Neodiprion lecontei: one gene and its partner. The protein of the gene in region 1 interacts with the protein of each later gene in a pairwise test. Links are inferred from orthologs where the notes say so. Each region holds a gene or a part of one and is shown on either strand. Other genes may lie near its edges. The genes, in order: transcriptional adapter 2B and transcriptional adapter 3-B.

Region 1 (15,795 bases):
AAACGTGATTGTAAGTAACAATAACAAGGTTAATTGTAACCGGAAAAAATGCGTGTGGAATTAAATAATATGGCAGTGGAAGCATTGATGTTAAAACAACACTAATTCTTCCTTCCCATTTCTTACTGAATTTTTGAAATCACTGTTATTTGTTCTTAATACGTTATTGGTTATTGGGATTTTTTGACCAAATTAATTATAGAAAGACATAAATTCAGTTATTAGGTGCTTTCGTATATTGAACTTGCGATTTGACATTAATTCATAAATCCACTTATTAGATTGTTACTTTTTGTAGTTATCTAATATTTAAAAAAATTTTTGAAAGGACAGAAAAAAAAATAAAGAAATTAGTATTAAGATGAATTCAAGCGACTAAAAATGAAGTAAAGTAAGATCAATGCTTACAGATAGAAGTATGTTTCGTTCAGGATTTGGGATAAATATGTATAATGGATTACAAAGGGAATTTGCAAATTTAGTCAGCTTAGTTAATTGATTGCCAGAACACAACAAAACCGATCAATTGAAGAAGATAGATTTCTATTTGGCGAAAGAGTAAAAACAGCTTTGATTTTTTCATGGGTAGTGCCTTCAATCTTTGTTACTTAAATCATGTAGTGATATAAAAGTCATCTCATAATACAAAAGACCTTAAACACATAACAACTACGCCGAGATGATCGGGCAACCCTTACCTTTGATCCCCAATTAAAGATAGACGGCTTTGGCAACTGGCAACTTTTCTCTACATATGATGTAACAATGTTATATTTCCACCATTAAACATTTTAATTTCATTAGTTATAACTTGTTTTGTACCTAACAGTTCCAGCTATTTTTTCTTAGATTTTAAATAAACTTGACTAATCATATAGATAGTTGAGACAATTGACCAAGATTTACCATTTGAATTACCCATCATGGATTGCTTGCTGATTAATTGTATAAGAATTGCTACTACTTTAAATGAGAATTATTCCGTTAATTAATCTGCAAGCTATGTGGTCTCATTATTACTATTTTTATTACCAATTGTTTTAAGATTGCACCTCATGTAATAATTATTTTTTAACAATAAAATGATGTTCAAATATTTTTATTAGCTTTTCCGCTACCAATCAGTTACGTTTAAATACCTAACTGTGTACAAACCCTCAACTTTTCAGGATAGGAATAGGATTTATTACAAATCGGTAAACTGGTAAAGAAAGTTCACAGTAAAGTTTAACTCCAGTTCACTTATGGTACCAAAACATTCCATTCTCATAGCTATAATCCGTTTTATAAGAGTTCATTGACATGGATGATAATTTGGGATATTTGGTAAGCGGAAAGTTAGGTGAATATTTGATTAGTTTTAAACTTCATTTCCCATGAATAGGTGTGAAATAAAATTAAGAAATTCATGTTGTTTTACAGTTTCAGAAAATCAGCAGCTTTTAATACTCCTACGTCCTTGTCACTCAATACAACTAGCTAGCTCAAATTTGTTTACGATTCAAGCATCTATACATACAGTATAATATAACTGTAATTCAAATATTCAGCAATTTGGTGGTGGAGGAACACCATGAGGCACCAGTGGCATGTTCACTCCAAGACACTTTTCTTGGCCATCAAGAGCTTTGGTTTTGTATCTATAAGTTTACACACTTCTCAATAGCGAGAGGAACAAAAAAAAAATTCGACAATTCACATTAACTAAGATTGAGAATATTTTTTTTCTTGCATTGGCTACACGTCGATAGTATGCAATACAATATTAATATTCACAATTAAATCCCACTCCTAAGTGTTTCGCGATACATAGTTAATTTCGTTATTGTAAATGAAAACAGTTTATTTATACACCTTATTTTGAACAGGTAGAAAGAAACCGAGGATTATCGATTCGTAAATTTTACAGATGAACAAGGCGAAACATAACTTGTCAAACAATAGAATTGAGCAAAAATTTCAGGGTAATAGAAGCGGAACCTAGGTATTCAATTATTTATAAATAAGTCGTCGACCGCATTCAGCGTAAGAGGACAGCTATACGTATAATAACGTAAAATATCAACCTACTTACATACATCTACTTACAATAGTACATTAATTATGAGATGAAATAATATCAGGTATTGCTCTTCAAAAATCTGGGCCAAAAATTTTCAATTTTATCAAAAACAAAGCATAATTCTCACACAATTAGACACACATAAACAAACAGATGTCTCCAGAGCAGTGTGATAACAACAGATGACAGTATTTTAGTATTGGAGCATTGAATATTGAGTAGTACTAAATTTAATCAATCTGACAATTCCTTCTCAAAATAAATATAAAGATCACAGTAATTGGTGAACACAATGTGTACGTTTCTTAAATTTAAGAATTATAAATGTGGCGGAATGTTACCTAAAGAGTAATTAAATCTCTTGCCAATACTTGACAATGAGATTAATGCAGCGCAAAATAGCAAGTTATAACTAGATCTATAGTTAAATGTCAAGTTTGCCAGCAATTAGTCGATACATTAATCTACTGCTAGTAAACGGTTTAATTTTCTTTATAACTATGACAGGAATCTTTGTTGTTAGATAAATCTATGAAAACTTGAACAATGCGACAGATTTGGCAGTATGATGAAAAAGGGTAAAATTCTTCCCACCTGTTCAATTAATATTCAAATAATAAGTTACAGTAAAATTATTTATTCCTAAGACTTGGCTTGCAATGAGCCTAAGGTGACTTAGAGATGAGGCGTCGCCTATAAATTTAATTGGTTCTGCGTTGATCAGTTCGCAGCAATCCAGCCATTGGATACCAGATAGTGAAGGATCTTGCTCTCCGGCTCAGACTGGGGTGCAACGCCTGATCTCCTATTGCCATTTAGATACTCCTGCGTACAAAGGGTACCTCAATGTTTAGCGATTGTTGTTGGCTGTGTTTACGTTTTTCTGAAAATTTATTTAATAAATATGGGAAGTGTTATACGTACTTGCAACAACAGGGTCTTTTGGGTAAGATACTGCGTTGGTTTCATATCTAGCTGGAGACACAAGGTCTTCTCTTGTTTGGTGAGAAGTTGAGCTGCCGCTTCCATCTCTACGTCCCTTGCATCGGACACTGGAAATCCCGTTGGAGAGACTTTGATGGCTGTAACAGTAGAGTTGTTGCCTTTCTCCAAAGTAGTTTTTGAGAAAGCAATTGTAGGATGGGTGGAATTGGTATGGCTATCTTGCACCGCCAACTGATTGACTGGAATCGTCGTCCGATTGGGACTGGCTTGATTGATTATGTAGTTGCTGCTGGCTGAGTCTGCCTTTGACGTGCATTTTTGGTCTGTTAAACCGCAGCTTTTTTCTTCTTCTCTGTAATCCACACGTACAATATGATTTCTCGATCTTACTGTATTGTATATTGAAGCTAATAGGAATAAATCTCGGCTAAAACAAATTTATTATTATTTATATATTAATTATATTTCAAATTTCTATTAGCTTCATAAGTAGTTTGTACAGGTATGTATGTACAAGGGGTTTTTGTGTTTTTAGTCTCACATACCTAAATTTTTTCTGTATCTGTAAGTCAGCTCAAATACAAAAAGTGAAAAATTAAAAGAAAAATATCGCCACAGCGTCAATAATCTTGCAGAGTTAGCAAATAATCACGAGGGCTATTTACTTATTCAGAAATCGAATGTGTTACAAAATTCATCGGATCTTCACATGAGATGAATCTATAGAAAAGTACGTTAGAGAAACAGGTGTGAATTTGTTTTCAAGAAATTTTTGCAACCCACTCATAATAAAAACAAAATATAATCATTTGGAAAGCGCACTTAGTTAACTGCAAACTTTGCACATAGAGCTTCGGAAAATTTTCATGTTTGAATTTGCTTCCAATCGTACATGGGACTCACCTTTTTTTTAACATTTGGCGGTGTGTTGGTGTGGACGGCCCACTGCTGCCCTAAGTGAAATGCAAACTGATACAATCTGTTCACAAACGCCTGGCAACACGCATCACAAATAATTTCATTAGTCAACAGTAAGCAAAAGCTAACACGTTATTTATTCATATTTGATGATTAGATCAATGTGAATCCGAATTTCGTGTAATTTTTTTGAATCATTTTGCTGACGCTGCAGTATAATTGTATTATGGAAAAATGCATAGGTATGTAATTTGAGATTTCTATCACCGTAGTTCATTTTATCTAAGAATTGCAAAAATTACAGCACGACCGTAATAAATTACAACAAACACAAGTAAAAGTATTTTGCAGTCGACACATCAAAATTCATATGTGAATTTCTGACGTGTAGGCACATATTACATAGGTCAATGTAAAACATGTAAGTTTGAGATAACAATGACACTAAAACTATGCCCTGAAAATGGAAGAAAATGTTGATGACTCATTGAATTATGTCTCAAGGTTATTGTCGATCTGAACAAATGTTATGGATTCAGGTTACAATAGGTGCAAAACATTTAGGTACGTAAGTGAAGCGTATAGCTTATTATACAAATGCAACATACATGCGGCGTGCATGAAACAATATCAAAGGGACCGATATGGTATTACATAGATCTAATTTTTTGCTAGTAGGGGTGTTTTTCCAAACACATATATTGAAAATTGCAAGGACCGAGTGTATTGAACATCAAAAAAGAGAAATGTCTGACTAAATGAACTTTTCTCAAGGATTTGCTTTGCTAAATTTTAGCCACTACGTATAAAAGTACATGAATAAATTATAAGGATAATTATCGTGAATGATGCTCGAGTTGCTTTATTAAGATAAAAGGATAATTATTACGAGTAATGCTGGAGTTGCTTTATTAATAAAAAATTTAAAATACGACAGCTGTTGGTGAAATTTATATCGTATATTATCACATCATAGAAAGTTTGGAAAGTTGCCAAAACAGGCAATTCTGGAAAGAATTAAATAAACAATACATTCATTCAAAACATATAAGATTTTGCAGTAGTCTTTTTTCTTCTTCGAAGAACATAATATATGGGATATTGCTGAAAAAGAGAGTTTGATAAAAGAGCGAATGGAAATGAAATTTTCCAAAGATTTGTCATTCGGATAAGCGAAATGCCAATGTCTAGGTAAAGGTGTAAGCACCTTCTGTCAATCTGGTTTGATTCTGTATCTTTGAAGAGGAAAATAAATAGCGACAGAAGTATTTACTCTGTTCGACTTTCAAGGATCGGCCAGTGACTGAGAAATGATGTGACTAATGTTATTCAATGATAAACTTCCACACACTGAGTTTAGTATACAGTTACAAACATGTAATATTACAAGTTCTACAATTTTTACAATACCGAAAAGAGAGTAACAAGAAATAAAAATCCAAACGAGAACTTACAGATTTCTTTTCAGTCCAATGATCCGTCGTTTCTGTTTGACCTTGAGTCTGTGCCATGACTTGTTCGAAATGGGCACATTCTTCATGCCTGGTGATACCGTTCTCTCTGTAACGACTAAGCTCGGTTAGCCGTAGTCGGAGCTCTCGTTCCCTTTCCAAATTAGTCAAGAATTGTTCGTGCTCCTGCGCTGTGTAGAATTGGGCAAACGTTCGCATTCTATCCCGAAATTCTCTGTATGTCAAATAATGAGCAACAATGGAAATGAAAGACAAGCATAAATTCAAGGACATTTAATTTAACAGCAAATATAACAATTACCTGAGTGATCATAAATTGTGGGTTAATTCGTTTGTTACCTGTCTTCTTTGCTCTGTTTTTTCTTGATCGCTCTATCTTTTCTTGTCGAAGCAAAGAACGAAGAGACAAGTTGATAATCTCTAACGACACGTTTTCTTCTTGCTCGTTCACGTAAGTTATTTGTGTACATGTCAACTTGGGCTAGCTTTAGCGCAATGTCAAGGTCATCGTCTTCGGCAGGAGTGAGAAACAACGAAGAAACCAAAGACTCTGCCTCGTGTTTATAATCCTGTAGAAAAGAAAGAAGTTATTCATGTAACGAAGCTGTTGAAGATGAACGAAATTTTTTTTCCATATGCTGAACATACGATATATGGAAGATTTGTAGCGCGTTGCTAGAAATTGAGATACTCGCTGTAAATAACACACCCTTTCAAAATCATCCCGCTGTGGCATATAGCCGAGCTGAGCTGCTTCTTCTGGGGTGATATCTAACGGTGGCAGTCGCGAGGTCAAGTCTGGCGATAGTGGCCCATAATCAGAGCTAGTTTGGTCCGTCAGGTTTGGTCTATAACTTTCAGTCGAAGGCCATGTCTGTTTACCGATATTTCCATCAAGATATCTGGCGATGTATTCCTCTTTAGCCTCTGCATAAAGAAAAAAAAAAACAATCGCATGAATAAGTAGTATGTTATGTAGCAATGATTTAAAAGTGTTTGCAGGATATTTTCACTCAGTTCAAAGTTCCGCAGCAATCGCTGAGCTGATATTAATTATCATATTTTAAACAGGGGGGGCTTGGTATACGTTGTAGGTAAAAGTAATGAATTTTGCAAGAAAAGAAACCTGAATCTAAGAAATAAATTCAGCTACAAAAATAACGCTCTTTTACCATCAGGTGTTCTTGTTTCAATATGTTTACTTATATCCTCCCAATTTCCAAAACCAAACTGTTCAATCGCATCGAGAAGTCTGAGTTGTTCTCTCGCTGTCCAACTTCCTCTCCCGCTAAATATGCTAATTGTACCAGAATCCTGAAAAATAAACAGAATTAAATATAACGAGACATTATTACAAAACACCATGATAAAATATGCATGTAAAAATTTGTTGAGCTCAAAGAAATGCTTACCATAAATTGATAAGAATGGTCATTTTTGTGCTGTCCTATTTCAGCACCAGCAGAAAAACACTGTAAATGAAATCACTTTCATTGTGTGACAGTGTGTATGCTGAATTTTAATTGAAGTAAAGCAAAATTTTTCATCTACAAGAAGATAACAACAAATCTGCAGGATAAGTTACCACGTAGACTGTATACAAAGATTTAGGAACAAATGAAAAAGGCAAAACTGTTGTGCACGTAAGTTCTGTACAACATAATTGCTTTGCAAAAGATAATCAGGCTGAAAAGATGCGGTGAGAATCACATATCCAGAGATTTAACGCATTGGCGAGCACAACATTACAGCAAGCATTTATGATTAAACTGAAAATAATTTTCATTCTAGATGAATATCGGATTACATATTAAGAAAAACCATAGTTCACCGATTTTTGTTTCTCAACAGTAACGATATTTCCGATTGAGTAAATTATCCTAGTAAAATGTGTTATTTTGCAAAGAGAATAAGGAAGTTGTCAAGGTAAGAAGATTTGCTATCCAAACTAAATATCTTGAGAAATCGTGGATCCGTAACGAAGCGTAAATTAATTACACACATGTAGCGGCGTTGCGAATTTCCCGCTCATCGCTTGTTGCGATGTCGCAAATACAACGGTGACGAGCGAAATTATCGAAGCGCGTCGTCTTTCAAGGCCTGAGTCAAGGGTGGGGAAAGAGGGAGAGAGAAATAAAAATATTTGCCGTTAGCAGGAGGCAAAATCTGGCGAAAAGTTTGAAGGGGAGGTGGGCAGTCGGTCGCGAGGTCACATGACTCGACTCCCGAGCATCAGGGCTGAGGGCCCCCCAATCCCCATTCGTTTCGCCCCTGGGCCACTTACGACTTACCTGTAAGCACAGATCAAAGTCGGCACATTCCACGCATTTAACACGCAACCCAGCGATGTCCTCCTGGCAATATGTGCAATTGTACTTAGCGTAGAGATCTGAGAACAATATTTAGTCATTAATACGAACCGAGCTCGACTCAGTTCGGTTGGAATCGATCGAAAATGCAATCCTTACAACGAAGGGACCTACGTACCCGCCATTATTGTTCTATGGCGTTTATTTCCAGAACGATCGCTAGTGACGTCACCACATCCTAAGGTCAACCGAAAATAACCATAAACTATTACAGCGAATCACGCTCATTTTTTAAAACAATATCAAATCGAGTACACGATGTATAGTTGAAAGACACTTCGCTCATCCGTATTTATTTTTCGAACAAAAACCACCCGAAATATACTACCTGATTGAAAAAAAATGTTTACGAGTGTAGCGTCGTTTCGGAAATGCGCATGCGCTACGCTAACGCCCCTCGTTGCATCGCTCAGGAACGTACTATGTATGTATGGTACAAAACGCCTAGCTGCCAGCAACAATTTATTCCACAATTGCCAACCTGACCAATCCTATATTCGCACGATTCAAACGTCCGTTTTCGCCCCGACGCTTCTCGGAAAATGTCATAATTATCACCCTACGAACACGCGAGAGAAAAGGTTCAACGTTTACTTCGATTAAGAGTGAGTATTCTTATTAGTTCCAAGTTTTCAAAAAAGTTTATACATTCGTACTAATCACGTTGCGTTGATTTCGCGACAAAAGAAATTTCGTACTTCAGTTGTTGCTCAAAAGCGCAGCGCGACATAAAACGTCCCTGTTTTTTTATTAACTATTTTCTAATTTAAAGTATAATCCAGTATAATATTCATCGAAATGTCAATAGTCACAAGTTGTACGAGTAAAACTTCCGAGATTTCGTTTTTGCGATTTGTTTCGCTTGTCAAAATCTACCCCAAGTCGTATCCGAGCACATCATTAGGACGCTTGGACTTGCTGCGAAAGTCCAGCTCCTGTTCGGGCCCACGAAGATTCGAAGATACCCCCAAGTTTAAAGCGTTTAAGGAAAAGCAGGCAAAAATGCAGGTTCGATGTTAGCCTCCTCTCATTAGTTACAATAATTTGACTGTTACCATCACTTTAACCATTTGATCTTGAATTGTTTTTGTAGCAGGATAAGACTTGTAACTTTTGGGAAAATTAAAAGCAATTCATTGGTTGTTAACTGCCTTTCTTAATATTTTCAGTGTGACGACGGATATCCGATACATTTGAAAGGTGGTGTTTTAGATAAAATATTGTACCATGTTACTGTAGGTGGTGTTATTATAGGCCTTGCTCAAGGCTTTTGGTTTATTTATTGTTGTGCAACGAAGAAAGCCGTGGATTGAATTTTGTTAATCGTCGTTTGCAATTTGAATTGTGTAAAAGCAGTTTATCACTAATATTTATTGATGTTATTAACATGTTAACAACAGTTTTTAAAAGAAATAGATACAGTTATCTTTGAGAATGAATACACGTTTAAAGTTAAATGTCTTTACTTTTTGTAACACAATGATACACAACATTTCATTTCTTATATACATTTTCCACGATATATACCGTATGTACGATTATTCAGCTTACTTACTAAAGAATTTAGGAGCTCATTTTTAAGGCACTTTGAAAGTATTTGAATAAAAGAACTTCGTTTGTTTCAACTTTTATAACATATTTGATAATTTGGTGTAAACGACGGTGAAAAATATTCTGAGAAAAAATGAAACTTACAGACCATTCAAAGTTTGCTGATTCCATTTTTGATTCGGAAAAGTAGCATCAGAGCTACTCAACTGGTATTCAGGTTGAAATATAAGCAATGGTTCAAATTGTAAACTTTGGTATCACAGAAACATATTTACATATTTTTCTTGGCGCATTGCAATTCACTGGAAACAGTCTGTATTCACTAGTTATATATTATCATGGTATCAAGTATTCAAAACTTTGTTTTCATTCTGCTCCGTCTTTTGATTTTCCACATCAGGATATTTCTCTTCTATCATGGCCCTGCGTTGTGCTTTAAATTCTGTCTTTTCTGTTTTCTCCGCAACTTCCACATTCTCCGCAAGTATTTCAATTGAATCTGCATTCGAGGAAGCAGAGGATTGCCAAACTTGTGCAGTTTCTGAATCATCATTACCCGCTATTCTTGATTTAAGCTTCTTGTTCATGTCAGGCTGTAAATTCACAGTTTTTGGATTCTTTACCGACTCATCGTTTGGCACATCATTATTCTTCAATTCATGCTGAGTTTGAATTTCAAGTGTCAATTTAGCTGCTCTTTCTTTTCTACGTGCCACCAAGTCTTTTAACGCTTCACTGAATAACATCAAAGTCTCTGAAATTGGTCTGTTTATGTAATCAGCGGATATCTGATCAAACCGATCATCTTCATCTGAAGATAATTCATTCTTTAGCTCCTTGAACTGATCAATAATTTGTTTCAAATTTTCTCTCGCTCCTTTCACCGCTTTAATATCCTGTGTTTCGACAATATATTTATCCATTTCAACAATATTTTCTTCTAAAGATGCTGCTCCAATTTCTTCGGTGTACTCTGTTGAATAGTCGCTTAATTCATCATTGGACCATTTCTTCAGAGACACTGGATCTTCAGAAGCTAAATCCTTTTCAAATTCTTTGAATTGGTTAATTATATTTCTGATACTCTCCTTGACATGAATGACGTTTTCTTTGTGGACTTTTGTCCTCTCCATTGAAATTGCGTTCTTTTCTTTAGACTCAAGTTTCGATACTGGCTTCATTTTTTGCGACACTGAAGGTAGATTACGTTTTGGCATTTTTACATCATTCTTATCATATTCTTGGATCTCTTCTAATTCGTTGTCGCTGGAGCTTTCTTTCTTAGACTTAGCTTCGCCCATCTTCTTCTTGATTAATTTTTTCATCGATTTCTTTAAACTACCTGATTTTTGCTGGTCCATTTTACCACCACTTGCAACTTGCTCGTGCGATGCTTCTTCTTCGATACGCGCATCGCATTCACCAGAATTGCTTCTTTCTACCATAAAGACTTCTTCAGTCGTCTCTGAATCATCATCTAGCTCAATACTGTTTTCAGTTTTCTGCAAATAGTTGTAGTTTTCCGACCCTGCACCATCAGATGTGTCTATTATCTCCATCGATTCACTTTTACTTTTCTCTTCTACTTCCACATTAATCTCATCCGCATTTTCAGTGCTCGGTGTGGAATAATCTACAATATCATTTAAAGTTACGTCTGACTTGTCAGTAATAATTACTACATTTTCATGCGGCAACAAATCACTTGATATTTGCTCCAACGGTTTTCCAATAGCCTCTAATGACGCTTCGATGTCTTCGAATATAAATCCTATATTATCCAGATCTTGACGAGTACCATCAGAATTCAGAGCAACGTTTTTGGCATCATCTTCAAAGTTTGTTAATCCATCATTCAGATCTTTCCTAACTCTAGCTTTTATCGGATCGTATTTAATATTTGCTTTTCGCTTCATTATAAAAATAGTGGGTTTCGTTTTTATCTTTATCGGCGGTATACCATTGTAGTTTAACGTGATATGAGAAAATCCGTCGACCGAGTCTAATATATCGTGAGTTTTCATGTACGGCTTTATGTTTGGCGAATATTTACTTTTAGCTTCCATTAATAAATGCGTGAATTGCAGCATTTCAGGACTATCAATTGTTATATTTTCTTGTTTGGAATATCTGAAAGGTAAAGAATCGTTCGAGAGAATCTCAAAATAGTAAGATTTTCATCATTCATCATTAGCAGCCCATCGTTTTAAAAATATCTCAGTCAGGAAGTCGCGAGTAAATGAATGACTTGTCGGCACGGATACAAGTGAAAATTATTTTGAAAAAAGGGAGTATCACTTACATCCAGTTTTTGTTAGTCTGCGTAAACCTAGAGACTCCAGTCTGTGCAGTTAGGACATCTATGTGCACGTGTACCGGTTCAATGGCATCTTTCTCTAATCGATGCAATCTGGTGATAGCCAAACCTCCAGGATAGTTGGAACCTGCCACGCAGAGCAGGAACATGGAGAATATGGCATTCAAAATTAGATGACCGAGAACAGCCAGTGCGAAAAATCCGTTCCACGATGATTTTGCTCTGTTCTCCCATCTAGTAGAAAATAAAAAACAAAAATTACGGTTTTGGCGACGAACAGAATGACTTTTCCTGGAACGAGTTTTGCTGGTTTGCTGATAAAATATGTACAAGTGCGAAACTCACATCCTGTGACAAGCTGCCGCTGCTCCAATGTTCAGAAGCGGGAAGACGTATATAACGAATCGTAATTCTTTGTGCGGTAGAAAAGAGAAGAGTAGGACGAAAAAAATTCCGGGAATAGTTAGAGCGCGCACTCTCCTGTCCCACATCATTCCCAGTGGTATGAAAAGGTACGAGAAAGCCAGGCCGCGAGGCAAAGCAGAATAAAAGTACCAAAGAAATGGTGACGTCTACATTCTGGTGTTAAGGAGGAAGAAACATTTGACTTGAAAGTAAATCGTTCTATTTGCTCGTCGATTAAGTGAAACAGTTTCAGTGTTATTTATAAAGGATACACCCCACTGACTACTTTTGTTGAGAATCGTGTTAAAGTAGAAGACTTCACCCTCGGGCCACAAAGGACGACTCCAAAAAATCGAATCTATGATCACGGTGATTCCCAGAAATAAAATGCCCGAGGGTATCGATATTTTGAGCAATCTGAAACCAATACAGTTAATAAAATATGACCAGATTTGAGGCGTGATGATGGATAGTATTCTGTTTCAAAGTACCTCGGTATCGTAAGTTTCGTACTGGCTAAGTCATGGATGAGAAATAGTCCTAATAGCATAGCTAATTCGGCTCTGAATATAATGATGGCTGCCGCTGATGAGCAGATAAACGTTACATGGTCTTGCCTGAGCCAACCATAGAGTGCGAGCAGAACTAGAAAATGAAATTTCAGCTCAATGATTATTTTGATCAACACGCTACTGCGACTAAGAGAGAATAATAATTGCAGTGATCGGAAAATTGGGGGGACAGGCTGATGATTATGCTTATTTAAAAAAGCTGCGGAGTGAAAGTGTAGACGAATCATTTTTCTTAAAATAAATAAATACCTCGACGAATACGAAATTAGCCATACCTTATTTCTTTTCTAGCTACTATTAGACCTTGATGCTACTTAATGCGTTCAATTTATGTATTTTGAGTTTTATCTGCAACATAAATATTATCACACGTTTGAATAAGTAAGATCAATTGACGTTACTTATGATAATATCAGCATTTTTTCAGTGGCATCAGAGTCAAATAATATGAAACTTTTACTAAAGATAAGAGCAATCGGCAAATGCTAGTCGACGATATACACAGGCATAAAGCTTACTTTCTTCATCAAAGGAGCGCCTTTTGAAATAGGCCATTCGAGTTCCACCCTTTGATTTCTAACGAACATGCAATCGGGAAAACTGTCTTTGAATTCATTCAAATATACATGTACAAGTGAACAATCTTCCGAACAAACCTTCATGTCGAATTTACATTATCACAGGACTGTGTCGATTGTACGTAGAATTTTTTTATTTTTTTTATTTAACGAAACGCAATTTTTAGCTCACACGCGTAACGTGAGACTGCTTAGACAATGACAACAAATAAACATTGACACCGACCTCTGTATCGACGTACAACACATTCAAACGTTAATTTCTGAAGACGACCCAAAGTGGGAGGTAACGAAATGACTAGCTTTTAGTCCTTTATTCACCTAGAGGCATGGCCATGATGTTTGGCAAAGGACGGCTCAGGTAATACATGAAGTGGTACTGCGTTATGGTGATTGCAACAAACCATTTGACAAACTGGAGGCCGAATATTTGCTGTAACGCTTGTCTGTACAGTCGTAGCGTGGCTATTACCATCAGGCCCAGTACAGCTCTCACTGGAAATGAAAAAGAATTTAGATGAGTTCCTTTTTTCGAAGTAATTAAAACGAAAAGGTATAAAGTTTTCGGAAAAAACGTTACCAACAGAGGTTTTATATTTATCTGAAATTCCAACCGATTTTAAGTTTTCACTCATACTCGGTTGTGAAAAATACAAACGCAAGTCGATGCAATTTTTAGCTATAAGAATTAAACTACCGCTATTCATATTAGTCCGAGAACTTATCAGAACTTAGCAGTGGCGACAATTTTATTTTTTGATCTCGATTGAAACTTTAGGTATGTAATTTTATTATGTGGTTGAAATCTGTAACGTTTACATAGGGAAACACTATATCTATGATATGACTACGTTTCGCTTTATTATGGTTTAGTGTGAAATTCGAATATTCTTAAATTTAAGTAAAAATTTTTGCCAAAGATTTATCGCAGCGTTAACATTGCGAATTTCCATCCCATATTTTATTCCCGTTCCACTTTCTTTGCGCATAGGATCATTAAATTACGAACATGTCGTTTAGACTGAATAATCACCCTGAGAAGATTCTTTTTCAAAATTCATCTATATTTCTACCAAAAAATAACTAACAAATAAACATGCGTCAAGATAAATAACAGCTCACCGACATATTGGGAGAAGAATTTGCTGAGATTGAGGTAATCAACAGCTGCAACAAAGGGCGTCGCAATACAGGAGATCATGATTGGACCCAGAAATGTTCTTGGCACAACTCCAGGAAACTCACGATGATCGTACTAAATTCAAGGAAAAATAGATGCATACGTATCATCAGACGGCAGTTGGTAGAGGAGAGAGGAATTATTTCAGAATTCGTACACAGCTTTTGGCGAGGCTTTTCCCAGAGATTGCCAGGCGATTTCCATCGATCAACGATCGGCGTTGTTATGGTAGAAAATTAAAGAGGTAAATACGACAAGCGTTACACTAACGACTAGTCTGAGAAAAGCTTATCGAATCGCCATGGTAGTCGAGTCAGCTATTTTAGACCTGTTGTTTGAGTAACCACAGCGTATTTTTGTGGTAAAATTTGTACTCACTTCTGTCAGGTTAAAACCGTGGTAGAGAATATCATGCATCGCCTGCAGGTTGAAACTCTCTTCAACTTTGGTGAAGGGGCAGTAAAAAAGGTGGATACTCGCCACGAGTATTACTATGCGATCCATTATTGAGTTTTCTGTTTTTTCTACCTCGGCTACATTCGTCAACGATTATTCCATTTCGGCGATGAATTCGTTCGCTGTTTTCTAGTCTCGTCTCGTCTCGTACGCAGAGCTAACTTGTCGATGAAGTGCGGCGGGAGTGGACCAGAAGGAGATTGTGATTGATCAGAAATAGATTCACGGCAGCAACGGGCAAAAGCAAACTGCCGAACTACCTGCAGACGACGACGTTATCTGTCGTCTGCTTGCCGGTTCCAACCACAGTGCTGCCAGCCGTCTAAATCTAATCGTTCCTGCCAATCTCCGTATTTGTAGGTTAGGTGATAAAAAAAAAAAAATTAATAATACAACATCCTGGAAAGAAATTTTACCGTGTTTCACTCTCACAAACGTTTTATATGTATTTATCGTTGATTTCGTTGAAGTCTAACTTTACGTTGCTTGTAGAAACGGGTTTGTTGTTTTTAAGGTTAAATATTACCGCCTTCGTGTCGCAGCTTAGTTTCTACAGATGGCGCCACAAATCACGCGACGCGAAAATTCTCGTCGGTTTGAATTATAATTTGAAGATACAAAGCGTTGACTGAGGAAGTATACCTGTACAAACATAATCAATACTCGATGAAAATTCTAGCCAAAGCTCTAAAACTTAAAAAATTATAAATAAATAACGGCGTCACTAGGATGTTTGAAAATATTTTAAACAAGTCTTGGCAATTTTGTTATACATCTTTACGCATGTATTTCGTAGCAGGGGGAAAGAGATGTGCATATTATTATCGGTACAACGCGATAATGTACGTCACCTTGTATAATCACATAACGTCGTTGCGAAAGAGAATATCTTTCGCGTTGTTTTGTATATTCATATATAATTCGTATGAATTATTCGAAATATGCAGATGGAATCTCTTGTACGTCCGGA
Region 2 (15,776 bases), on another chromosome or scaffold:
CCTTGCCCTTCCCTTATCACACGACGTGCATAACAGGTTGAAAATAGTGGTCCTTTCCCGTTCCACCGGCCGCCAGGCAACGCGAACAGTTGACAGACTTCGTAGAAATTCGTTATTCTTCGCCCAAATAGGATAGGTGGCGCCACTCGTAAATCCGACTGAGATAGCATTTCTGTTTACTAATCGATCATCATTGTGGGAGAGTTTGTAGCTAATACTTTTATATTTTAGACTGGCGGTTGGGTTATGGGATTGGAATAATAGTGAAGGAATGAGAAAATGTGGGTGCTGTCAATATGATTTGACAATGCGTGTCGTTCGTGGTTTGACTGAATATCTGGTGTGGTGATTGAGATGACGGTGAATATGCACTGACGAAAACTAAGCAACATTGTTGACGGTGGACGGTATATAATGAGATAACGAAACGCAGAATGAGATACAGCGGAGTCCTCAGCTATGCGGTGCTCACGCTAAATCTGCATTTTACTGGTAGGAACCAGCTGTCAATGCTCCGATCACGCGCCAAACATTCTCCAATCCCGTTCACCATCACGCCCTGCCCTCTAAATCAACGTCCGTCGAATTCATTTGTCCTGCAATTTCTTTTTATCTTCCATGAGGCAATTGTTTTTTCCCACCTTCGCCGAATCCCCGACCATTTTACTAATTCGGTATGACAAAAGTTTCTTCTACTCGGTATATTCCTGACCGCAATTAATAAATCTTCCAGGTCAAGCTAGGGGAAGCGGTTCTTGCAAGGACGTACAGGGCCGATTCTTTGAGTCGGGATTCCACTACAGCCCTGGCCCGGATGCGTGCACTCTCTGCGTCTGCGACAATGGGAATCCAAAATGGTGCAAGGCGGTTCTCTGCTCCCAGCCACAGGTGATCAAACAATTAGTCAGAACTTTGTTGGACCTTGAGAAACAATTTTCCATTATCATTTATATATTGTTTCTCATATAGGACTGCAAATCTTTTCGTGTTGGCACCACTTGCTGCGAGTTTATCTGCATGGACGACACTCTCCCAGTCGGTGGTGGAGATGGAAACAGTGGAATCGGAGGCGGCTTGGGAGATGGCAACACGTCAAGCGACATGGGACTTCGTCTCGTCGCCAGCTGCATCACTGCCATATTGTCACTTTCTCTCATATTCTTTTTGATCCATCGACTTCGCCAGAGAAAAATTAGAGGTGAGATCAACAGATATCGTTACGCATTGAACATTTATATTTTTTCATCCTAATCCCATTACATGTTCAGATTAGTTCATTAGTTCACAATGTTGCACCAATAAAAATTTGTTTTACTTGTATGAAATACGATGGATAAATAATGGAATACTATAGTTTGTGTGGCAGGGAGGCAAAACCGGCAACTAACCGACGAGCAGAGAAGTCTTGGTAGTATGGGATACTTAGAAAGAGGTGGATTGTCGCACGGTGGACCAGCAGATGACATGTCATGCGGAGGTGGTTATCCGTTGTGGAAACCACCAGGTAATTATTTTCCACGCGGAGAAGCTCCACCACCATATGAAGAAGCAGTAGCAGCTGCGAGAGCAGAGCAAGCTTTGCTATCTGCAAGTCCACACGCGTTATCACCATTGAATTTCTCTGGCGCGTATTTGTCGGTGAATCACGGCACTCATCCTTCATCAGTCGCGACTGTAGCAAATAGCCAAATTGGCCTCTCAGTCACAACGCCAAATCTCTCAGACAGACATGGAGCATCTACGTCTCCGATGATACTGTCGATGAATAGGCCTTTGAGCAGCCCTAACACTCACTCGAATACCCATCAAGTAAATCAGGGCGAATCCATGACAGTTGGGGCCTATGCGAGTAGCTCTGTAACCACATTTAACATAGGACCTAACACTTACGAAAATCTCCCACCACCGCCAAGCATTATCACCAACCAAACTAACGATTTATCTCAGAGTAATATTTTACCTCTACCACCTTCCCACTCCACTATTCCAAAAGCCTATCACCAGCACACGACTCTACCTCGCCAGGGCGCTGGCGCCTTTACCATATCTGCAACATTGCCCACCTCGGGCACATCCAGCCATCGCACTATTCCCAGAACCCTGGCTACCAGTGGCAGTCTCAGATTGAGAAGAGAGTTTACTGCTCATCAGCCCGTTGCTCCCCTTTTCGATACCCCACCACGGAATGTTTCCCCTCAGAATACTCCACAATCTGCTCCACCGACTGCATCAACCAATGACAATTCTATTCATTCGGATGCATTTTATGATGATGTACTTGTTGGATTACCAACTGCTGCGCCGCAGGTTGAGGGGGAGCCGCCTACCCAACCAAGTCCCAATCTAACAAATTGTGACTTTAAGGTGAGATTTTATTCGAAAGAAACATGCTAGTATTAATCAGTGGTTGGTTCCAGTTAAGAGTTAGAAACTGCATTGAGAAAAGAACATCATGACGATTGTATGCATATTTAAATACTGGTATTCAATTTCAGCCTAAAATTCCTTCAACTACTGAAGTGAACCAAGATGGAAGCATCGAATCTGTGGCATGTGCTTGCAGCATGCAAGCTCTGCCGACATTGCACGACGACGCGGATGACTATCGCAGTGAATGTGAGAATTGCAAGAGTGCAAACGGTTCCCGATATTATCTGGACAACCAGGATGAATTAGTTACTTCTCCACACGAGACAATGACATTGCATCGTAGACCAGAGGAAACACCGCTAGGCACCGCACCCCAGTATTATCGTACTTCCTTGACACTGCCCACTAGTACCCGTCAGCGTACGAGGTGAGATAAACTTTACACAGAAAATTCTCCCTAGCAAATAACTTTACCTCAGAGGAGAATAATGAGCGGGATTTCTTTAATTTTTTTTTTGTTTATATTTTTACAAATTCATTCTAGGTAGAGAATTATTAATGTGCAGCAAAAAGCTGTTCATTGATAATAACAATTGCTATGTTCTAGGAGCACCGGAGCTCGTGAAAATTGGTTCAGCTCAATGCCTGAAAGCTCCACAGAGTCTTCAGATGAAGATTAAAATTTGAATTTAAAAACAAACAACAAAAAATCAACTAACAAAAACAAAAAAAAACTCATAGTTGTGCATCATATTAGGTATTTAGAAAAAAAAAAAAAAACTACGTACAAGAAGCAGCTTGAATACGCGAGTGCCAAAAGTATTATCCAATCTTTATTGTAATTAATAAATAACCACATACATACATAAATATCTATATCAATACCAAATATTATATCTTCAAAAACAGAAATTTTGATATTTTCACTCTAGCAATATAAATATATATATGTGTGTGTGTGTGTAAAAGTATACATATACGTATATGTATATTATATCTATTGTAGGGTTAGTTAATAACGAATCAAATCTGTAACTAAAATTTTCGGGCTGAAGACAGGAATAAACCGAACGAATGGACGACCATGCCGTAACATCGGTAATTATTGTTCGTTTATGGGCAGGTTTCTAAGATTAGATAATATATCTGTTAAAATACCCACATATAATTGGTAGATGGTGGAAATATTGTTCTATACACATAGTCTTCACAAATCAACTTACAAACCTAGTTAGTTTAATCAAAACATATTTGGCTTTGAGTGGTAATGATGAATACCTTATAGTTGTCGAAATATTCTACTCACAAAAAACATTTCTTATCACGATGCAACAACAAATTTGTATAAATGCAGTAGTAGTGTTGTTACCAATCAATATTTCTACCCATTTTATCTGTACTGCATGAATTCGTTACAAAAAACTGTGCCAAATAAGAAACAGGACTTGTAGAAAAGTAGAAAAAAAAAAATTGCCAAAACTAATGAAATGTTTTATTAACAAGGCATAAGTCAACAGTATTAATTAAAAGGCAGCATATACGTCAAATTATTATCATTTTCAAATTTTTACTAAAGACATTTACACTGTAGTATATTAACACGTGTTCAAGCATATATATATATATATATATATATATATATATATATATATAATAGCATATATATATATATATATGTATATAAAAGAATAGAAGGTATCTACAAACGCTCGTTTTTCAGACTAAATTATAATTCTCTCTAAAACGAACAAAAAAGAATCAAACATAAAATAAAATAGTTTTGTCAGGGCGGAATTTATTACAATTAGCTAGGTTGTTATTCAAATATACCAGGGACAATTTTTCGAATTTAAAAAAAAGCGGCAGCTCAAGTACGGATTATTAATTTTTATCCACACATATTTAATTTTCTACACTATTACACGTAGAATCTTTCGTCCTTCGTTTCTTTTTTCTTGTGATTGGAAATCAATTGTTAATCTAGTATTATTTATAATTAAAAATCGAAAGTTTTCATCACAATTCAAACTAAACTGTATAGGTAGGCGAAACTGTACCGTTCCAATTATATCGTGTTTAATCTGACTCACTCTGTTAAACATACAGTCATTTACATAAATATATACATTCATTGATGTAGAATCTTAACGATATGGGCTAAGAAAAAATAAGTGAACAAAGTACCTATGAAGAAAGAGCAAGGTCGATACGTGTCAGGTCGCTAAATAATAGAAAAGTTTCTCTATTCGACTTAGGCCCCCTGATATACATATAAAAGATAAACATTCCGGAAAAAAGGAAAAAACGAAGCAATTTACAACTAGATTTCAAAACATGAGTAATAAAATAAAGAGCAGCATCCAATATTTCTGAAACTAATTTGAAAAAGTTTTGAACAAAATATCCAAAGTGAAACTTGTATTTTCTATAGAATGTAGAAAAGTAAACGTACGTTATCTAAAAGTAAAAAAATTAAATAAATAAAAATAAACTAATATGTTCTGACTGTAACGGTTGCATGGGGCCCAAACCAAAAAGACAAACCATAAATAATCTTTATAAGTAAATTAAAGAGAAGATCAACTAGAGCGTTATTATAACAAATATTCAGGCATAACATATAATCATTCTGTAATAAAAATTGAATGAACAAATGATGAAGAAATACGAGTTGGCTCAAAAAACATGTTAGTGTTGGTACAATTAATAAGAACCATATAATATGTAGGTGAAATGAAACTTGGGAACGTGCAAAAAGAGAGAAGTAAAAAAATTATTCATGGAGAAGAATTCTGAAATGATGAAGGGTTTGAATAGTAATTTCGTGAGATTTTTTATTTTTTTTTTTTGTTAGAGAAAAATAATCACTCTTTCCAATTAGTTGCAGGTAACATTTTTCTGAATCATTCTGTACGTGTTATATCTCTTTACCGTGACTTATGATATAACTTGATTAATAAATGATAATAGTATGCGTAAACAAATAATATTACTCGCTCGAAACAAAGATATTTGAAGATACCTTTTGTTATTAAATTGTTACCACTTGCACCACAATTATGATTCAACTTGAATGGATTCATTATTCATTTAATTTATTTGTGATATTGTATAATTTTGTTGTCGTTGGATTAACTGTTTTTTTGTTTATATCTTGATACATATATATAATATATATAATATTATATATATATATATATATATATATATTGTATATATTATATACATACATATACATATATTTTTCTATTATTACGACTTGTTTACATTTTCACGATATTTCATTTGTTGAACATTCCCTATAATTATAATCATTATCATTGTTACGAATAGCATTATCGTTACTATTATTCCAGATGATACGTAAGATTGAAAATTCTCGAATATGTATTTAAAAATAATATATTAAAATATAGATTATATGTTAATACATCTTTCCCATTTCATTATTTTCCCCTGACGGTCAATTTATCCTGTTACTACATTCATAAATCACTCAATTGTATCAGGCACCACATAAAAAAGTAATCAAAAGAACAAATTAACTTAGATGTGTAACTGTATAAATTACTACCAGAATTATAATATTGTAATCTGTACAAGTAAATAGAGCAATGTAAGCTGTAAAGTAATTGTCACATCATTCATTTTAACATTGTAATCGTAACGAAAAGTACAATAATTCAAAATATTAAACATGATAAACATAAAAATATGACTCAAATGAGATTAACTAATCAGAACTGCTATTCTACAACGCAATGTTATGTCGCATATACGCATTGGCTTGTATGACGACCATTGAGAGATCAAGCCGTGTTATTTCTTGAGTTGATGACAGTGTCACTGCCGCTTGACAGTATATTCAAATGTTCAAGTAAGTTTTCACGCTCTCTCAGGCAGCTCCAAGCCTTCTCCTGTTCTTTTTTAGTCATAGACACTTTTCTCTGTTTAGCTAGTATCAATTTTTTGTAATGTTCAACGACTTCGTTGTCGACAATGCTTATTTTACGTTTCACAGCCTGTCGTTTGCTCTCCTCTTGCGCCAATTGAAGCAGTCGTTTCAACTGTGTCACATTATGATTGGACAAAGCGGACAGTTCTTGTTGGCATCGTTTTATTTCTGCAAGAATTTCATCATCTTGATTCTTTTTCGGAGTATCAGCCTCAAGTATACCTTGCTCTACCAGCTCCTTGTGCATCCTCAATTCCAAATTCATTGAATTTTGTATAGACAAGTCTCTAAGCACAGGAGGATCGCCATCCCTAAACAATTTATTATCCATATTATTATTAGCTACATATACATTCTCTTCCAACAGAGCTGAAACTAATCTTTGGGTCAAAGGTCCTGCGATGCTATTTCCCTTCTTATCAACCTTCGAAACAAGGAGCGAAACGTCGGACCGATTTTTCTTTTTATCCCTGTTTGGATTAGCCGCATCTTCCTCCTGCAATAAATCATTATGCGCCCACAGCAGACTATAATGACGACCGAGCGGCGGGATTTTCTTCAACTCGCTCTGATCGCTATGAGAAGCGACCAATTCCTCCAGCAGCTTTAAGTCCTCCGGCATGATATCGGTGCAGTAAGGATCGACCGAAGCCCAGAACTTATTGGGAGTATCGTTTTTGGGCAAAAGTAATTTAGGGAGATCAGATTTACTCCCATCGATTCTGTTCAATTCGTGAGGATTCGGGACAACTTGAGAAGCTAATCCCCCAGAAGTTTTTTGCTTAAACAGTTTGGCCGGAAGCGGAGACTGCGCCTTCGAGCTAAAGTCCTTGAGCTTGGATTTATCCTCGCGAATTTTTTTGTCAAGTGTCGACAGGCCTTTTACACTCTTTGACCTTTTGTCTCTACGTTCTTCCGCCGACGACAAGTTTGTTATCTCATCTTGCAGTAATCGGCATCGAACTACAACGGATGAAAGCAATGTTTCCAGCTCGAGTTGTAGCGTATCCAAATCTTCCATCCCGACACATTCCTCCGCCGAACGCTGCAGAATGCTACAGTACCTTGGCAAATGTTTTCCATTGTCAACCGTCTTTAGAACAGGCAGAGAAACTGCAGCCTCTGTGCTCTCCGAACTTGTGTCAGAGTTTACAGAAGACAGATGTCCGGATTTACCTCCCTCGCGCACCTTTATCAGCGCCTTCTTTGAACTCTGTTTACCTTTACCTGACATTACGGTTTCTCTCTGTCTTCTCTGTGGGTATGTTCAGTTAACGTTCGACCGTTATAAAAATACAACCAATAAGCTGGATTGCAGTAAGTTTAAGTTATCAGTAATTTTTGTGATTTTCACCGACTGTATTAGTTATTATTATTCACCGTAAGTGTCCAATAAGCAATCTTGGAGGTTAGGTTCTGTTTTTCCTTTGTGTCCACTTACTATGGAAAAGCGAACAAATCAGGTACGTACGAAAGGTCGTCTGATCTGACGATTAGTTTTATCCAAGGTACGTTTGAAATTATCATGCCAATCATGTACCCAATTGTTTAATGATATTTCACTATCAACACCATTTCGCAAACGATGTCACACAACCCACACAACCTAGGACACAAACTAACCTGTCATCTGACTTACCAAGTGCCGTCATTGGCGGGATAGCGGAAATCGCCATCTTGAGAGATGACAACTTCAAATCGAACTACTGCAACAAGTGTTTGTTACACATTTAAAACAATATCTTCCGTCAATAACAGAACTACTTATTAAGCAGTATTACACATGTGGAACCAATTCGCAATAAAATATTCGTAAGTATGTACGTAAGCAAGTATTCATAGTCCTTCCTTGAGGAACAAGGAACATAAATTTTTTACAAACAAATTGATCATTTGAATATTTTTTCAAAATTTTATTTCACAACTTTATTATATTATAAATATTACGATTTAAAAAAAAAATTTTTTTCTTAACAACAATTTTTACTTGTTTATATTCGTTTTTTTTAGAATTCTATTGTTTAAATAATTAGTTGCGAAATTATTTTTTATCTAAAAATCATAATGGACAGTCCTCCATGAAGTAAAAAAAAAAATTTTTTTTATCAACAATTCCATTGTTTATTAACTTATCAATTTTTAACTTTGTTATATTTTTTTTCTCAAACTTCTAAAAATTAAAAAAACACCCATATATAACAAAATATATAAAAACAATTTTTTCAATTTTTTATTTTAATACAAGCTTAGCCAAAAGCTGAAAAATTTGAAAAGCTTGTGAGAAAACTTGTGTAACGACCGAATACGGCGCTGTAACGAGTCACCGAATACATGCACAAGTCCAATCGCAGCTCTCGCGCTCGAGACTTGGCCCGTCTCTCCGTCGTCGCATACCACGCGTTACCCGTATCGCTATTATCAAACGTATTGGAATATTCAATTACGAGTAACGAAAAATGAATAAACCGTTTTCATTATTTTCTTCCTTATTTTTTTTTCTCTGCCAACAGGCCATTCCGTTCTGCGGCAACAAAATCATGATGTGTTCGGCATTTTACGTACGAATTTTCTTACGCATTTGTTCGTTAAGTACAATTATTGTACCGTATTCATCAGCTTCTTTGATCTATGAAGGAAAAAGCATAAGAGAGAGAGAGAGAGAGAGAGAGAGATTGATTGATTGATTCAACCTTTATTATGCCTTGGTAGTACCATGAGGCGAATTATGAAAGTACATAAAATTATTCAGTGTAAATCAGAAATAAGTTTTTCAAGGATATCAAAATAACAATAGTTGGTATAAGTATAAAAAAGAAATATAAAAAATATTCAATAATAGTAATAAAGTTGATATAATGGTAATAGAATTATTTAATAGTAATATACATCTACAAGAGGACACGAGATAAAGAGTATGAAATAATGTGCCGAAAATAAAAATAAAAATAAAAATAAAAATAAGGACGCAATTAAAATAAAGATGAATAAAGATCAAAGGATTGTGGATAGATACAATGTGATGATAGTTAAAATTAAAATTAAAATCAAAATTAAAATTAAAATTAAAATTAAAATTAAAATTAAAATTAAAATTAAAATAGCCAAAACGTTAAAATTTTGATTAAAAATAGCTAAACCGTAACCCTATCTATAGCAAAGAGGTAGTTGTGCAGTCGAACCTTTAGAATTGGAAGTGAGGGAGAAGTTGCTACTTCGGCAGGGAGAGAGTGCCAAAAATGCATGGCAGAAAGAAAAAATGAATCGCGATAGGTAGGCGTGCGGGGTAGAGGTAAGTGGAAATAATGAGTTTTTTGCTGTCGGGAAGTATGGTTCGTTTGATTTTGGAGAGAAGATAACTCTTTCAAATATGATGGTGAGTTGCCATGGATTATGTTAAATACCATGATACCTAGAATATAGAGGTGCAGAGAAAAAAATGGTGATTCAACGATAGATGAAAATAAGATGCATATGCCAAATGAAACATTGGGAGGGCGTGTAGAGACGAAAAGGCGGGTGTGATAATGAACGAGAGCGAGTGAAACAGCATTGTCTGTCTGTTGTCAAGAATTTGTGAAAAAATTCCAAAGATCGAGCGCGAATAATAGCTACATAAATGCGTTCTTTAACTGTATGGTTAACAAATAATGTATTGCTTGAAAAATAATTGAAAAAAAGTCGAATATATTAAACAGATTTCCACACACACAATTTCAACAAATGGACGAATGAATTGGCCAACTTTTAATTATAACTACATTTATTCCAGCAATAATTAAAGATGTGCATACGCGTAATTTATAATTGTATAAAAGCAGGTGGTCAAGAAATAAGATTATCGTGAGTGATAAAAAGAAAAACATTCTTTAAATTTGGTTTGACACGTTTGACACGTTTGCCACGCTCAACATGTTTGATCGTACATAATTGTTTACCTGCTCGCTAAATTATATTTTCTATAAAAATATAAATGAAGAAATTTTTGTTTCATTTGTAAGTGGAAGGGAGGGGGGAGAAAGAGAGTAATTAATGATTCGTTTATTATTTATTTATAATACTAATATTTATTTATTTTTATAATACTGGATTTGTTTGTAGTACTATAATAATTAATTGAATAAGTATCACATGTAGAGTATTGCATCCGTTTACGAAGCAAGATCCGAAATTGCACTTCTGTAATATTAAGCAACTGAATCTTTGCAAAAAGCGGCAGAGTGGCCGAGGAATACCGCGGTTTCACTCTGTAAGACGCATGCGTGCGAGCTTACATCTATGGGTTAGCATAACAGAGAGCTAAGCGGTGGAGCAGATAATACAGAGCATGCTTCGTTATCTGCGTCCATCGCTTACCCGCCGAGAATTTAGTTCACGCAACGGACACACAGATCCGACGGAACCGAGCTTCACCAGCCTGTCCCAGGCTCTTCGTTCCGTGGGCCCTCTCAGGTTTCTCTCTGTATAGAGCAAGATTCGGGCCAACGCCATCATAATCAAAATAACAACAAATGTCGCGACTTGGTGGGGATTCATCTGATTGTTAAAAGTCGCGGGGAGGGAGTTCGCCCAACGTGACGGCTCCAAACAGACGACTTTGTCGCAGGCACGTTAATGTAAGCAAGAATTGTGACGTCAACGTCGGATCGTTCTGCTTTCGTCAGGGATGAGTAGTTTTGAAAATAAGTTGTTTGTGTATTTGGCTTATGGCTAGCCCGCCTTTAGTTGGTAGGGTGGGTGCAGATTGCTGCCGCGGTTAATAGAACCCGTGTAACAAAACAAAAAACAATAACAATACGGATATAACATAAAGAGAACAGCGGTGTCGTCATAGTTCGAATTATCTAAACAGCTTGGGAAATCGGACAGTAATTTACGGTCAAGAAGCATTCGTAGTTGTTACAGAAGTCACGAGGCGAAAGGTGATAACAAAAAGGTTTCGCGTTAAAATGGACGCTCTAAGGGAACAGGTGATGATTAATCAGTTCGTTCTGGCCGCCGGGTGCGCCAGGGAACAGGCGAAACAGTTACTGCAGGCTGCTCACTGGCAGTTCGAGGTGAGCTCTACTTCCATTTTTCATTAATTATTTCTCGTCTCGGCCGCCGAGGCAAGCCACAGTAAGTAAACAAAACACGCACGACGACGACGACGACGATACGACGGAGTAGTGATAATAAAATGGCTGCTCTTCGTTTACAAGTTTATCTTGCGCACTTTCCCCGTATCTTTAAACAACAACTCGCGGTTATTATGCGGCTACCATTATCATTTCACCCGCATGTGATATAAATCGATAATCGGCAAAAACCCGGCTGAAATTCGCTGGTAAATGAACGTCTAATTTTACCACGGATTCTGCGATACTATTATGAATATGTTGTAGTTAGTAACGTTATCGTAACTATTCGTGCTGACGAAAAACCGTTATTTCGCGATTTTGGAACTGTTTGAAATTCAGTAAACCGTAATAAAACAAAAGACACTCATGTTTTGCAATCTTAGTTCCTTCAAAATCATCGTAAAAATAAGAAATAGTGATATTTTCGTTCAATGTTTCCTTACGGTAACGCTACTAACTTTAATGTCGTTATTTATGTACCATCTTTTTCTTTTCTATCACACATCCGCCGTTGAAGGTAAACACTAATAAACAACAATCGCTCGTTGCTCGAATCTTTTGTCACCAGGCAATAGGCCGATTTGTCATTTTAAGAGATCGGAACAGCAGGAAATTGGAACTCAGGTCGCGATGATTACGTACGCATTTCGTAACAACGCCAGTCGGGTCTCAGATTGAATAATGACCGGATTTCAACCAACTGATGATCGTTTCTGCTGTAGAACGGAAATAATTTATTCGTAACATCGCTACTCAGCTTTTCATGCCGCTGACCAGTCTCTCTGGCATGTCTGTTTACCATTATAGATTATATATTTTCGGGCAGACGGGTGACAATGGTCTGTGCCAAACCAGCCTAGTAAAAAATAACTCAACTTGGCAGGTGGCAAAATGCCATTTGCGATTATTTATACTTAGTCTATGCTAGTGTAGCATAATCGGAATGAATTCATTTCACTAGACGGCTTTCGGCATTTTTTGTCATTCACTCAAGTCTTTTTTTAATTCGTATCTATGTCAATTTTCGTTGTCAAATTTATTCTTTTATCTGTCCAGTCAATGACATTCTTTTATCAAACCGAAGTTATTAACGTTATCGTAACAATTCATGCTGGGTAAAAACTGTTATTTCATGACTTTGGAATTGTCTGAAATTCAATAAACTTTAATAAAACAAAACATACTAATATTTCGAAATCTTGGTTCCTTCAAACTCATTGTAAAATTAAGAAAATAGTGATTTTTTCCCCAATGTTTCGTTGCTAACTTCAGTCTCGTAGTGTTAGAAGATAGTCTTATTTTTAATTCGCTCCACCTTCTACTCAACCTTCCACCCCGACGTGAAATTAAATCTTCTAAGACTAGTAGCGAGTAACTTATTTCTCATAACTGAGTCAATTTTACCATAAAATTGTCAGTTTCAAATACCATAATATGTTATGTATTCCTATTGTCTGGTGATATTGTACAGACTGCTCTACTTAACTGCGGCAACAGTGATATTTGCTTCGTTACAAACATATCTTAGAACTTATAAGTGCAGTTATGTTAATGATTCAACACATGCATGAATGTTTTAAATTTTAGTCACCACATGTTACAATTTTGAAATAAAATGATTGTTTCTTGTAAAAACTGCAAACAGCTAGGGTTGAAAAAAAAAAATTAAACCTATACGCAATGTTGCTCATACATAGTAGAATAAGAATCTGAATTGCATCTGAGTAACATTTGATGATCCTGTATTTAAAAAGAAACAAGGAAATTTATACTTTACATCCAAATTAGGAAAGATTGTTTTTGTTTACAATTTAAAAGGTCACTCTTGTTATCAAGAGTGATAATATTTTTTGCATCCTGCATTAAAACATCGTTTTATGAAACAATGAATTGGCAAAATAATTATTAAGACTGTACGCAAGCCAATTGTCCTGCTTCCAATCAATTTCTCCGATGAAGTCTGTGGTGTAATTTGAACATCTATTAATTTTGTCATTTACCACCTATGGTAACTCAGATTCTAATTTTGTTGTAGCTAGATTACTGAGAATGTGCTCTTTATCCCAAAGGTTCATCATTATTTTACAGGTTATATAAGTTTGGAAAACGGATAACTGTGATAATCAAGTATCTTTACGATGTTTGTCAGTTCTTTTTTCTACATTTATTTTTTTTCTGAAATCAATCGTGAACCAAATATTTTGTGATTAGATACTAGTGAGGTTTGTAAAAGAAACATACTTGTAAAGAGTATTGCTGTTTGAAAATGCTCCAACATGCTGTAAATGATCATTAACAGCACACATAAAGCGAACCATACTGATTTTACAATCACAATCCGTTCAAAGTGATTCTTTGATAGTAAAATATTGATTTTTTACGATGTTGTGTAATTTGTGAAACATTTCGTAAGGTTATATGAAATAATCAGTGAGATTGTAATAACACGTAGAAAATATTAGAGATTAGTTTTTTGAAATCAGAACATTATCTTGTTCACACCTTCTTAGAGAAACGCATAATGCAGCTGAAACAATGTTTTTAAAACATGTATTTGCACAATATTCAGGTTATAAAAATTATAGACAGAAACTCTCTTAGTAAAAGTATCAGTAATTCATTTTCATTGCAATGAACACATGGTTAATTTTATGATCTGCTTTACAATTTATACTCTCTAAATTAAAAACTTTTTCACTCTGTTCACTTATTTTATATTATATATCAGCCAATATTAGCAACTAGTTTTCATGCAATAAACCTTTTTAATAAATCTTTGAAGTCACTTTTGCTTTACTTTTGCACAAAATATTATGCGCTTTCACCAATTCCCAATTTAACAGCATATATTTTTGTTAATTTTGCTTCAATTCTGTTTACAGACAGCGTTGAGTATATTTTTTCAAGAAGCTGCTATACCCTCGTGCGCTCAAGGACCAGGAACACATTTTGGACAGGTGAGAAATAGGATAGAAATAAATAAAACTCAAATACAGGATCAAAATATGTTTTATATTTGCCTTTCACACAGAGTACATATTTCCATTCAATTCTCATTTTCTTTTTTTACTTACTAATCTTTCAGATCACACCATGCAATACGCCAGCTACACCTCCAAATTTCCCAGATGCATTATTAGCATTTTCTAAAATGTCTGCCGGAGACAAAACGCCGTCTGGTAAGTTATAACTAATGAACTTGTTTTCTGGAGTGTCTGGTCTGATGTTTGAAAAAACAGTTCTTTTGAGAAACGAAAAGTTGGCAGGCTTAGGGATCGGCTTATTCCATTGTAAAGTGCGTTACTAAACATGATTAGATCAATTAATCACTTTCTTAAGACTCTAAAAATAATTCCAAGGCCCGAGAGTATTCTAATAATAATGATAATAATAATATTAGATAAGACAATGAAATTGTTTTACAATTATCCAGGCATGTCTCCGAGCCAGAATGGGCAAGTACCTCATCAGCACCCAGGTGGCAGGTGTAGTGTTTCTGGTACACAACAACAAACCAGCCAATCTTTTGAACTCGGTGAGCCACAGAGATAAAACAAACCTACCAGCGTGCAATTTAAATAAAAGATGTAATAAGTAATACAGTGATCGTGTTCCATGATTCCTAAAAAAAAAAAAATAGGATGCAGATCATCGTCGGAAGAGTTTTATTTTTTCTTCTTCTTTGAGTGACGACTATGTTGTTGTCAGACTATCAGATGCACAGAGTTCTCATTTGCAGGGGGATGGTCCGCCTGTCAAGAATTTCATTATAGTCATGCCTGTGTGTGTGTGTGTGTGTGTGTGTGTGTGTGTGTGTGTGTGTGTGTGTGTGTGTGCGCGCGTGCGCGTGCGCGTGTGTGTACCGGGCCAATCACTTGAAACTTGAAAATCAACTGCGCAAAATGTGTACGTTTGAATTTTCAAAGAGCATAAGCATTAAATTCCGACCGTTCAACTGCATCCACGCTAGAAAAAGTTTTACAGCTGAAACTCAGGATGGCCAGCCTGCATGAACAGCCGATAAAATTTGTACATTGATTTCCAAGTTTCAAGAGATTGTCCCGGCATATATACATGTGTATTCAACACCATAGATACAGAATTTTATCTCCAATCAGTTACATATCTAGTTCAGCAGTGTCAGCTAATTGAGAAGATGTTTTATCTTCTTTTTTCTTTTCTACCTTTCATTCTAACTAGGCTTCCAAAAAAACCAAAACCTGCATTAATTTTTTTTTTCAATTCTATGGTATGACAAGGAATCTGAAAAATTCATTAGTAGTCAAACTCGGGGTCAGTTGATTAAACTTTTTTTTTTTTTTATTTTTACTATG

The links.
Region 2: the proteins of transcriptional adapter 2B (region 1) and transcriptional adapter 3-B interact in a two-hybrid assay, tested with the Drosophila melanogaster proteins (4 studies listed by BioGRID). The link is inferred for Neodiprion lecontei from reciprocal best matches to the Drosophila melanogaster genes Ada2b and Ada3.

What each region holds. Positions count from the first base shown.
Region 1 is NC_060263.1:6,642,234-6,658,028, forward strand, and holds transcriptional adapter 2B, read right to left. Parts: upstream 8,144-15,795; 5' UTR 7,892-8,143; coding exon 7,885-7,891; intron 7,787-7,884; coding exon 7,689-7,786; intron 7,643-7,688; exon of another isoform or gene 7,430-7,642; coding exon of another isoform or gene 7,400-7,429; intron 6,870-7,399; coding exon 6,810-6,869; intron 6,712-6,809; coding exon 6,570-6,711; intron 6,325-6,569; coding exon 6,107-6,324; intron 5,967-6,106; coding exon 5,737-5,966; intron 5,612-5,736; coding exon 5,380-5,611; intron 4,001-5,379; coding exon of another isoform or gene 3,961-4,000; coding exon 3,911-3,960; intron 3,435-3,910; coding exon 2,987-3,434; intron 2,888-2,986; coding exon 2,783-2,887; 3' UTR 590-2,782; downstream 1-589. Other genes in the region: uncharacterized protein LOC107223641, read right to left, coding at 9,662-11,447, 11,620-11,868, 11,980-12,206, 12,312-12,456, 12,531-12,684, 13,511-13,684, 14,312-14,444, 14,748-14,873. UniProt on the Drosophila melanogaster protein: Component of several Gcn5-containing histone acetyltransferase complexes that regulate nucleosome organization; involved in acetylation of histone H3, particularly on Lys-10 (H3K9ac) and Lys-15 (H3K14ac).
Region 2 is NC_060266.1:16,329,425-16,345,200, reverse strand, and holds transcriptional adapter 3-B, read right to left. Parts: upstream 7,962-15,776; 5' UTR 7,560-7,961; coding exon 6,180-7,559; 3' UTR 5,609-6,179; downstream 1-5,608. Other genes in the region: uncharacterized protein LOC107218362, read left to right, coding at 435-492, 734-888, 970-1,198, 1,355-2,364, 2,496-2,797, 2,978-3,050; lysosomal alpha-glucosidase, read left to right, coding at 14,894-14,977.